3 linked regions of the Coturnix japonica genome follow. The protein of the gene in region 3 interacts with the protein of the main gene of each other region in a biochemical or structural test. Links are inferred from orthologs where the notes say so. Each region holds a gene or a part of one and is shown on either strand. Other genes may lie near its edges.

What was found.
Region 1: the proteins of UBC (region 3) and STAM2 form a complex in vitro, tested with the Homo sapiens proteins (11 studies listed by BioGRID and IntAct, with this or other methods). The link is inferred for Coturnix japonica from reciprocal best matches to the Homo sapiens genes UBC and STAM2.
Region 2: the proteins of UBC (region 3) and ANKRD13D form a complex in vitro, tested with the Homo sapiens proteins (4 studies listed by BioGRID). The link is inferred for Coturnix japonica from reciprocal best matches to the Homo sapiens genes UBC and ANKRD13D.

The regions. Positions count from the first base shown.
Region 1 is NC_029522.1:30,557,326-30,561,047, forward strand, and holds part of STAM2 (signal transducing adapter molecule 2), read left to right. Parts: intron 1-1,429; coding exon 1,430-1,514; intron 1,515-1,614; exon of another isoform or gene 1,615-2,615; coding exon of another isoform or gene 2,616-2,722; intron 2,723-2,850; coding exon 2,851-2,926; intron 2,927-3,137; coding exon 3,138-3,233; intron 3,234-3,722.
Region 2 is NC_029520.1:145,001-148,822, forward strand, and holds the start of ANKRD13D (ankyrin repeat domain-containing protein 13D), read left to right. Parts: upstream 1-1,470; 5' UTR 1,471-1,492; coding exon 1,493-1,966; intron 1,967-2,344; coding exon 2,345-2,480; intron 2,481-2,551; coding exon 2,552-2,676; intron 2,677-3,034; coding exon 3,035-3,080; intron 3,081-3,164; coding exon 3,165-3,308; intron 3,309-3,451; coding exon 3,452-3,641; intron 3,642-3,717; coding exon 3,718-3,798; intron 3,799-3,822. Other genes in the region: GRK2 (beta-adrenergic receptor kinase 1), read left to right, coding at 30-192, 300-436, 503-616, 716-877. UniProt on the Homo sapiens protein: Ubiquitin-binding protein that specifically recognizes and binds 'Lys-63'-linked ubiquitin. Does not bind 'Lys-48'-linked ubiquitin.
Region 3 is NC_029534.1:5,348,719-5,352,230, forward strand, and holds UBC (polyubiquitin-C), read left to right. Parts: upstream 1-712; 5' UTR 713-873; intron 874-934; exon of another isoform or gene 935-1,059; intron 1,060-1,609; 5' UTR 1,610-1,615; coding exon 1,616-2,989; 3' UTR 2,990-3,131; downstream 3,132-3,512.

The sequences.
Region 1 (3,722 bases), on a different chromosome or scaffold from region 3:
TTTTTTTTTAAAAGGAAATTGCACCTTAAACTGTATAAAATTGCAGGTGCTCATTTCGTTTCAAGAATGAGCAATGAATGTTGTGGTACTGACCTAAAAATATCAATGTACCTACAAGAAAATTCAACAACGGTGTCTTTCCAGGATAAGTACTTTAAGGTTAGTGCTGCAGGAACGTGCTTTCAGCACAGTATTTGCTTTCCTTAAATAGTTATTGTAGACTGTAAGGATAATGTACGGCCAAAATTGCACATTTCTATTCTCTCCTCTTTGGCCTGCTCTTCCATCTGTAATAAAAGGCTTCCAGGGGCACTGCTGTGCTGGTGTTTGCTTTGTGGAAGCCGTTCTGCTGCCAAGGATTGCTGCAACTTTTGACTGTAAAACTGTAGTGTTTTACAGTTTACAGCAACTCCTCATCAGAGGAGCTGCTTAATTGCACACCCAGAGATGGGTTTGTCCTGAGGTAGCATTGCTGTCAGCAAGCCTTGTCATTTGGAGACTGCTTCTATCACAGAACGCCATCACATTAATAGCGAAGGTCCATTACGTTCTGCTTTAGTCTGCTAATAGCCTTTAACGTACTCAGTCCCAAAGGGACTTTGTGGGTTCTCAGGCTGAGACAGATGTTAAAGTAGCGATTAAAGTACTTTCTTGATTTGTTTATGAAGTTCATTCTGATGGAATTAATATAGGACATAAAAGCTTCTTCCTTTGAATTTGGTCAAAATATTAAAAGAGCGTGGTAAAATTAACTCTTAATGCAGCGAATGGGGTGCATGAAATATTTCCTGAGTAATTCTGATCCTATCGTAATATTAACCTGGCATGAAGATAACATGATGAACTTAAAGGGAGAGCACAAATAAATAACATTAAGCTTTATCGGTTCGTGTATTGATTAAAATGCTGTAAGTATTGAGTAGAATTACACTTTTTTGGAAGGGTGGTTTGGTTTTTATTGGCTGCTTCTGGGACCTTTATAACCCTTTATAACCCTTCCATTTCATTTCTCGTGACATTTGTTGTGATGTTTGGATGCCCTGAGAATCTCACAAGCTGTTCTAATGACAAATCTTTTCCTTTAGAGACTTTAAGAGATTTATCTGGTTCACTTGGAACACCCATGTGGAATACGTTGTGAGTGCCAAGATGAGAAGACCTTGAGCAAGCTCTGAATTAGGGCTCTGACCTGAACCTGGGCTAACTGAACCAACTGAGCAGAAGCAGTTTTATGTTCTTTTTTCAATAGCTTTACACTTAGAGTTGTTTTGTTTTTCAGATCTTTTAACTACTGAATGCATTTATTATTCCAGTACCGCTCTTCCTATGTGAAAACACACGCATATCACTTTATAAGATACCAAGTAGCAGCACTAATCTCAGTATCTTCTGTGTGGATTATGCTTAATCAATCTTCTTTTCTTTATAGAAAAGGCTACAAATGAACACAACACCAGTGAGGACTGGGGTCTCATAATGGACATATGTGACAAAGTTGGAAGCACTCCTAATGGGTGAGCTGTACTCGGCATCGTGACGTGTGATTTCATGTTGGTGTGGATAATACTGCTTCAAAAGTAACACATCAAAACGCTCATCATAATCAGCTACATAGAAAGCACCACAGCTGTGACACTTCTGTGAGCCCTACAGATGTGTGTGGTTTGCTTTAAAGTTCTTGGAATGAAATACTCCAGCAGGACTTCCAGTGGAGCAACTGGTAGATGCTGAATGTGTTCCAGTTTTAGGAAGTTTTGCCTAGCAGACCAAATTATTCGTATTTATTAATCTTGCATGTGTTTTGCAAAGCAACTGTGCCAATAGGAAGAAGTGAACTAGATTCTTTGTGGGGGAGAAAAAAAATACGTAGGGAGTTGGTTATTTATGATTGGGAATTTGTCTGTTCATTAGGAAGAGTGGGATTGATGGAGGAGGAAAAAGGAGTAAAATTTGGGATCAGGACTCAATCAGTTTACATTCAGTGGTTGTATTGACACAAAAGTGGAAATTCGGTGATCTTATAATTGATGAAAGTGAAGGAGATCTTTTGAGTTATAACATGTAGATTCTGTAGTTATCTTGAACTGGTACATATCTTGAATTCATAAGTGATGGTAGATTTGTGTTCTTGTAATTTAGGTGTAATATTTCAGGTTACTACATTAAGTTCCTTATGCATTCTAGAAAGAAAGATATATTGGCTACCCTTAAACGAGTACATACTTTAACAATGAGTTTGTTGATTTTGTTATGGTCATGAATTACGAACAAATGTACTCAATATTAGAACTACACTTAAGCTTCTCCAGCCATGTGCAAGTAATCAGCAAGTAACTCAGCACACCAGGACTGCAATGATGGACCAGGGTAGCTGGTACTGAGGCCAACACATCCATCCAGTGGAGCATTTGGAGGTTTTCTTTCCCCTTTGGAACAGGTTTCATCAATTCTGAACTGAATATCCACAATGGCAGTGGTGCATGTGTTTCTATGGCACCTGCTGCTGGCTCTGACCCTGTGGCTCCTTGTGAGTTTGGAGTGCATGTGTTGTGCACAGAGGAGCTTCTAGCACAGCTCCTTCTGACAGCAGAACTGTGACCAATTCTGTCAGTATTATGGATATCAATGTAGAATGCCAGCATAATAATGGAGTCTTCCAATCCAGTGCACTTTTAAGAACAAGTGATGCGTTAAGTATTCTTCCAGACTTGTTCTGGGAAAAGTATGGGTTAGGTTATGGTTTTTTTTGGTTTTTTTTCTGCAGAGCCAGTTTTGTTTGCTTACAGGACATGAGTATCTGGTAAAATTTGTTCTATAAAGTCATTTGTCTCTAATACTTTCTTCTTTTAGGGCAAAGGATTGCCTTAAAGCCATCATGAAGAGAGTAAATCATAAAGTTCCCCATGTAGCTCTGCAAGCGCTTACAGTGAGTAGCCTATTACTACCTTCCAGAACTTCTATATTTCTCCATGTAATGTAGCTATGAATTGTGTGCTGATCACTTAATAAGTTTCTGTATATCTTCAGTAGACGTCAGTGGGAGCGCTCTGAACAAAGGGTGGAATTTAATTTTTCTATGTGCTTTTGTTTTGGATTATTGTTGTCCTACATTTTCATAACTGTGTTTCTGTTGTCAGCTTCTAGGAGCCTGTGTATCAAACTGTGGAAGGATATTTCACTTAGAAGTTTGTTCTCGTGATTTTGCTAGCGAGGCTCGAGGTATAATAAATAAGGTAATTCTTTATAACTTCACATAGTGGGGTAGAATTATTTTTATCTCTGCTCTGCTTTCTCTCAGCATAACAATGAATTTGCAAAACAGACGTTTGAGAACTGAATGAGAAGGTAACCAAGAAAGGAAGACCGAAATGGTTGCAGTCATGCAGCTGATGGCATCTAAATGTGGATGCAATGTATTGAATAAGCAGAAGCAGTTTTCCCATAATTACTGCTCCACTTGAAGACAAAAATGGCTAAGGAAGATAGTTTTCAAGTATATGGGAGGCCTGGAAGCATCAGAGGTTGAGCAAAGCAATTAATGAAACTAATAAAATTGCCAGGAAGCAAAATGAGTTCACAGCTCTTCTGTTTCTTGCTTTCTGTGGAAAAATAGGTCTTGAAGTCCTCCCCTTTATTCTCGTTAGCTGCAGTCTATTCTGAAATAGAACATTGACCTTCATGGACTAACAGCACTTGTGAATGTAAAAACAAACCACTAAAGA
Region 2 (3,822 bases), on a different chromosome or scaffold from region 3:
GGCAGGCCTTGATCCCACCTCCCCACCAGTTGCTGGAGAGTGACCAGGAGCTGTACCGCAACTTCCCACTCACTATCTCGGAGCGCTGGCAGCAGGAGGTGACTGAGACCGTCTTTGACACCGTCAATGCAGACACAGACAAGCAGGAGGCGCGCAAGAAAGCCAAGAACAAGCAGCTGGGCCACGAGGAGGGTGAGTGGGGCCAGGTGTCCCCTGCCCCATCCCTGGTGTCGGCCGGCACCGCACAGCGGTGGCAGTGCCTGGCACTGAACCTTTCTCCTGTGTTGCGGGGGCCACAGACTACGCCATGGGCAAGGACTGCATCGTACATGGGTACATGTCCAAGCTGGGCAACCCCTTTCTGACCCAGTGGCAGCGCCGCTACTTCTACCTCTTCCCCAACCGGCTGGAGTGGCGTGGGGAAGGCGAGTCACCGGTAAGGCGGGCAAGGGGGGGATGTGGGGTTCATCTATTGAGGCTTGGGCTGAGCCCATCCTCTCAGCAGTCCCTGCTCACCATGGAGGAGATTGACTCAGTGGAGGAGACTCAGGTGAAGGAGCGCAAGTGCATCCTGCTCCGCATCCGTGGCGGCAAGCAGTTCGTGCTGCAGTGTGATGTGAGTGTGCCACGGGCCCTTGGGGGGCCACACTAATCCACTGTATGGCAGGATGGTGAGTCGGGGGAGCTCTGCTCTGAGCCATGTGCTTCCCCACAGAGCGACCCCGAGCTGGTGCAGTGGCAGAAGGAGCTGCGGGATGCCCAGCGCCAGGCCCAGCAGCTGCTGCAGCGGGTGCCACGCATGCAGAACAAGCCACGCTCACCTGTGGTGGAGCTCAGCAAAGTGCCCTTCCTGCAGCGCTCTGCCAATGGGCTCTGACCCCCTGCCCTGCCTCCCCCCGCCCTTCCCACCCTACCATTAATTTATTGGGTTGGGTTCCACGTACCCCCACTCCTTGGTGTCCTTGAGCAGAGCTCCAGGAGGACGCCTGGTGCCAGTGCCAGCCCCCTGCCCATGGAAGGGCACATCCATGGCATCACCGTCTGGAGCGGAGCTGGTGCTGAACGTGCAGCACCACTCCCTGCTCCCGCTCCGGCTCAGATGAAGGCAGTCCCGTGTCCCCACCTGCTGTCCTGCCCCCAGACCACCGCCCCCCTTCACCACCCACGTGTGCCAAACGGGGCAGCAGCGGCTCCCTGTGCCGCACGTGCCCCAGCCCGGCTGTGCCCGTCTGTGGGTGCCAAGTCCCCTGTGTGAATAACAGTGTGTGTGTGTGTGTGTGTGTGTGTGTGTGTGTGTGCGCGCCCGGGGGGCCCCCCTGTAAATACTGTGCCATGGGCCCCCTGCCCCCTGAGCCAGCGGGTGATGCGGGAAGAGGCAGCTGGGGAGGAGAAGTGGGGACGACCCCCGACTCCGCCTGCTGTGCCCGCTGGCATCTGTAAATAGTAGCGTGGGGAGGAGCGGCGGGCAGAGCACGGTGCGAGTGAGGGATGGATGAGCGGAAACGTGAGAATGCCTAAAAAAAACACACACACACAAAAAAAAGAAGGGAAACAAACAAACAAAAAAGCAGTTTTTTTTATAATAAAAATGTGGAAAACCACAGTCAGGCTCCGGAGTCTGCGGGGCGGCACCGGGACGAGGAGAGTGGGGAGGACATGGCGAGCGCCCGGTGCCGTGGGGGCGCTGGGGGGTTACCCGGTGCCGGCCCCGCCCCGCGCCGCCGCGCTGCGCTGCGCTGCGCTGCACCGCGCCACCGCCACCCCCGCGCGCAGCCATTGCGGGCAGGCGCGGAGCTGCTGCTGGGCCCCCGTGCGCTGTACGGCCCGGACCGGCCCGGCCCGGATCCCGGGGACATGGTGCGGGAATGGCCCGCGCCGCAGACACCTTCCCGCTGCACCGCCTCGTGTGGCACAACCGGCACCAGGCGCTGGACAGTGCGCTGCGCTCCGGCACGGTGCGCGCCGGGTGCGGGGGGGGGCGCGGGCACGGCACCGGGCATGGCACGGCGGGGGATGCGGGGCAGCGGCGGTACGGGGACACGGAGGAACCGGGGAGGTGCTGGGGAGATGGGGGGACGTGGGGTCTTGGGAGCGCTGGGTGCAGGGAGAAGGGAGAGCGAGGGGGAGGAGATGTGGGGATCGGAGGAAGGCACTGGGGGCGCTGGGATGTGGTGCGGGGGTGGAGGGATGGGGAGGATTTGGGTGACAGGGAGAAGTAGGGGGTGCTGAGGGACAGGAGGGTTCGGAGATGGGGGCTGCGGGGCTGGGGTGAAGGCGTGGGAGAGGGGGCACGCGGCTGGCACCGGCCGGGGGGGTGGCCCGGGTGACGGTGCGCGTGCCCCAGCACGACGTGGAGCTGACGGACCCCCGAGGACGCACCCCGCTGCACCTGGCCACCACGCTGGGCCACCTGGAGTCGGTGCGGGTGCTGCTGCGGCACAACGCCAACGTGGGCCGGGAGAACGCCAACGGCTGGACGGGTGTGTGCGCGGGTTGGGGTGCGGGGATGGTGGTGGCGGCGCCCGGCTGATGGCAGCTCCCCGCCCCGCAGTGCTGCAGGAGGCGGTGAGCACCGGGGATCCCGAGATAGTGCAGCTGGTGCTCCAGTACCGCGACTACCAGCGGGCAACGCGGCGGCTTGCCGGCATCCCCGAGCTGCTCAGCAAGCTGCGCCGGGTATGGCCGGGCGTCCGAGGCAGTGGGTGGGCACCTGTGGCCCTGGATAACCCCAGGGTGGGGGCACACCTGACACCGGGCACCTCCATCTCCAAGCACCCGCAGCACCGGGTACCCCCAGCACCGGGTGTCTCCATCACTGGGTGCACCCAACATGAGCACCCTCAGATATGGACTTCCACCATGGGAATTAGAGGGTGCAGCTGGAGAGACCCCGAGACCCCATCCCCCCCCAGGACTCCCTGTTTTTTCCCCTCAGTCCCCCTTCCCAAGCTCCCCAAGGGGCCCCACGGGCTTCCCTGCATCCCAGCAGGGACCTCCACACCATAGCCTTCTGTGACCCCTCTGTCTCCTCCAGGCCTCTGACTTCTACGTGGAGATGAAGTGGGAATTTACCAGCTGGGGTGAGCGGGGACAAGGATCGGGACAAGGATGGGGGTGGGGATGTCACCCCCTGTCACACCACGGATGGGTGTTGCTGCCTGCAGTGCCCCTCGTGTCCAAGGTGTGCCCCAGTGATGTGTACCGTGTCTGGAAGCGGGGTGAGAGCCTGCGGGTGGACACCACGCTGCTGGGCTTCGAGCACATGACGTGGCAGCGGGGCCGCCGCAGCTACATCTTCAAGGGAGAAGGTTTGGCTCTGGCACCCTGGAAAAACTCACACGGATCCCAGATCTCCCTTAGAGGCCCCGGGTGCCCCTGGATGCAGCATCCCCAGGGCCAGGGGCTGCCTGCATGCTGCAGTGCTGAGTGCTGACTCCATCCTCTCATGCAGAGGAGGGAGCGGTGGTGATGGAGGTGGACCACGACAAGCAGGTGGTGTACACTGAGACGCTGGCACTGGCCCTGCACGAGCCAGACCTGCTGCTGGCAGCCATGCAGCCCTCGGAGGAGCATGTGGCTGGGCGGCTGACGTCGCCCATCGTCTCCACGCACCTGGACACCAGGAACATCGCCTTTGAGCGGTGTGTGCCACGGGGCCCATGGGGCTGGAGGGCCACTGGGCACAGGGCTGGTGCCACTCTCCGCTTGTACACACAGGAACAAGTCAGGGATCTGGGGATGGCGCTCAGAGAAGATGGAGGTGGTCAGCGGCTACGAGGCCAAGGTGCCGCTGGCAGGGTGGGGATGACTCCACCCCATCCC
Region 3 (3,512 bases):
GCTGGGAAGATTTATGTCCTTTTTACTGTAAACCAAGTGCTGAGCAGTCACAGGCCTTGCTAAAAGAAGTGAAAGCTCTCTTTTTAACTGGGGGAAATACAGCCCTGTGTTCAGTCCTGCTATTCACACACACGTTCGTGCTTCCTAAGCAGAGGATTTACCAGCAAGTTCATCTGTGTTCACCGAGCAGTAAATGAAACAGCAGAGAAACCTTCCTGCTTTCTGCATGCTCTGGTTATGATATAAGAGCTGTTCTGAAAGGTATAATGAGCTTTAATGAACACAAAACATGCCGCCACGTCGGCTCAAAGCAGGAAGCTGCTGTGTGACCTGTTCAGTGCTTCCTGTTCTGAAAGCAGCAGTGGGCCTGCTGTGATTAAGGGGTATTTTTGCCCCCTTTCTCCTTGTCAGACCCTTCCCTAAGCAAATAACAGGCAAAAAGATGCGGCCTAAACACAACGTCCCCATGGGCGCGGGGCCTGCCCGGCCTCTCCCTGCCCCCACTCTACGGATCTGCGCATGCGCACACCCCCCCACCCCACCGAAATCTGCCCCCGCAGAGCAGGGCCGCCCTAGCAACAGCGCTGACCTCACCGCGCACCAATCAGAACGCTGCAACGCTGGAATCTTCCAGAGCTTTCTTTACAACGGATCTTTCCTTAACAACCAATCAGCAGCCACCTTTCTTACTGCTGCGCCAATCAGCGCCGATCTTGCCACCGTTGGGATTAGAACGTTTCATTAGGCCGTTTCACCGCAGCTCCAGATCCATCCGCGCCCTCAGAACTTTTGGGATTTTGAAGGGTCTCCTCTCTCTACCGAGGACATCACGGACCCCATTACTCCTGGAGGAGGGATTGGAGCGGTAGAGAGGTGAGTATTGCTGGTACCGGGGGGGGGTTCGTTTGGGACTACTTTGAGAGGCGGAGGGATACGTCAGCGCTTTGAGGGCGGGGACTGTGCGGCGCAAGGAGCATAAATAGGGGCGGCGCTGCGTCACAGCGCAGAACACAGCGACTGGGATCGGGATTGCATTGATCGGAGCTCAGGGCCGGAGACGTGAGTTGTGTGGGGGGAGCGCTGAGGGGGGGGAGAGAAGGGACGGTGGTTTTTTGTTTTCAAGGCAGAAGGGGTTGGAGTGAGTCCGCTTGGGGTTGTATTTGTGAGGGGAGGTGGTTGTGGACGGTCTAATCCGGCCTAAGGGCGCTTGAAGAACGGTGCGAGGGGGGGGGGGGGGCAGGGGAAGCTTGTGGCTGAGGAAGGTGGGGTGTTATAAAGATGGCGGAGCGCGGCGCTGTGCGGCCCGGAAGCGGGAGCTGAGTCAGCGCGGCTGCAGCCGTTGTGCCAGTGTGAGAGCACGGGGGGGTGCCCTGGAGTTAAAGGAAGGGGGGTGCTGGGCTCGGCCAGCACAGGGCATTCAGAATTATAGGGTCCTACCTCAAGGAAGAGGTGGGGAACAGGAACAACAGGGTTAGTTATAGCTTATTGAAATCCTAAATGATGTAACGTAATGCAAATTAGTAAGTTGTTCTTTTTTTTCTCGTTTGTAAGGTGTATGTGGACTTAAAGTGCTTTTTAGCTAAGGCTAAAATTTCTGTATGTTTTTCAGGTAAACATGCAGATCTTTGTGAAGACCCTGACTGGCAAGACCATCACCCTTGAGGTTGAGCCCAGTGACACCATCGAGAATGTGAAGGCCAAGATCCAAGACAAGGAAGGCATTCCTCCCGATCAGCAGAGGCTGATCTTTGCTGGCAAGCAGCTGGAAGACGGGCGCACCCTGTCTGACTACAACATTCAGAAAGAGTCCACTCTGCACCTGGTGCTGCGCCTCAGGGGAGGGATGCAGATCTTTGTGAAGACCTTGACTGGCAAGACCATCACCCTTGAGGTTGAGCCCAGCGATACCATTGAGAATGTGAAGGCCAAGATCCAGGATAAAGAAGGCATTCCTCCCGATCAGCAGAGGTTGATCTTCGCTGGCAAGCAGCTCGAAGACGGGCGCACCCTGTCTGACTACAACATCCAGAAGGAGTCCACCCTGCATCTTGTGCTGCGTCTGAGGGGAGGGATGCAGATCTTCGTGAAAACCCTGACTGGCAAGACCATCACCCTTGAGGTTGAACCCAGTGACACCATCGAGAACGTGAAGGCCAAGATCCAAGACAAAGAGGGCATTCCTCCCGATCAGCAGAGGCTGATCTTCGCTGGCAAGCAGCTGGAAGATGGGCGCACCCTGTCTGACTACAACATCCAGAAAGAGTCCACCCTGCATCTTGTGCTGCGCCTCAGGGGAGGGATGCAGATCTTTGTGAAGACCCTGACTGGCAAGACCATCACCCTTGAGGTTGAGCCCAGTGACACCATCGAGAACGTGAAGGCCAAGATCCAAGACAAAGAAGGCATTCCTCCTGATCAGCAGAGGCTGATCTTTGCTGGCAAGCAGCTGGAAGACGGGCGCACCCTGTCTGACTACAACATCCAGAAGGAGTCCACCCTGCATCTTGTGCTGCGCCTCAGGGGTGGGATGCAGATCTTTGTGAAGACCCTGACTGGCAAGACCATCACCCTTGAGGTTGAGCCCAGCGATACCATTGAGAACGTGAAGGCTAAGATCCAAGATAAGGAAGGCATTCCTCCCGATCAGCAGAGGTTGATCTTCGCTGGCAAGCAGCTCGAAGATGGCCGTACCCTGTCTGACTACAACATCCAGAAAGAGTCCACCCTGCACCTGGTGCTGCGCCTCAGGGGTGGGATGCAGATCTTTGTGAAGACCCTCACTGGTAAGACCATCACCCTTGAGGTTGAGCCCAGTGACACCATTGAAAATGTGAAGGCCAAGATCCAAGACAAAGAAGGCATTCCTCCCGATCAGCAGAGGCTGATCTTTGCTGGCAAGCAGCTGGAAGATGGGCGCACCCTGTCTGACTACAACATCCAGAAGGAGTCCACCCTGCACCTGGTGCTGCGCCTCAGGGGTGGCTATTAGTTGTTGTCAGCAGTCTTGTCGAGCAAGATGCACAGCACTTGTGTTTGCACTGTAGTCTTTCTGATGTCTTAAATTAAACGCAAGCTTAAGTAACTGCTGATCTGTATGTTGAAATGCTAATAAAGTTTTCTGTTGCACATTACGTTCTGTTGTCTGTCTCAGTTCAAGCTAGTAAACCCAGTATATATAAATGACACGTTCCTTTTGGCTTTCTTCCATGGTGGTTTAAGCATCTTTATGTGGGTTGTGGAGGTATTTGAGGGTGAATCCTAACATGGATTAAAGTCTTAAGTCTAAGCACTAGTACTGTGTCACTAAATCTTGCTAGAATTTAACGTGATTCTGTATTTTCAGAAAGGATGCAGTGTTCCTGTAAGGACTTCAGAAGCTGCTGTCCATCATTAAGGCTGTAGGACTAAGGTAGTGGGAGTGGGTTGTACACTGCACTGTGTTAGAATGGGTGGTGCTGAGGTTCCATTACCTCACTTAGGTGTGACTTCTCAGTGTCCTTGGTGCAGTTTTT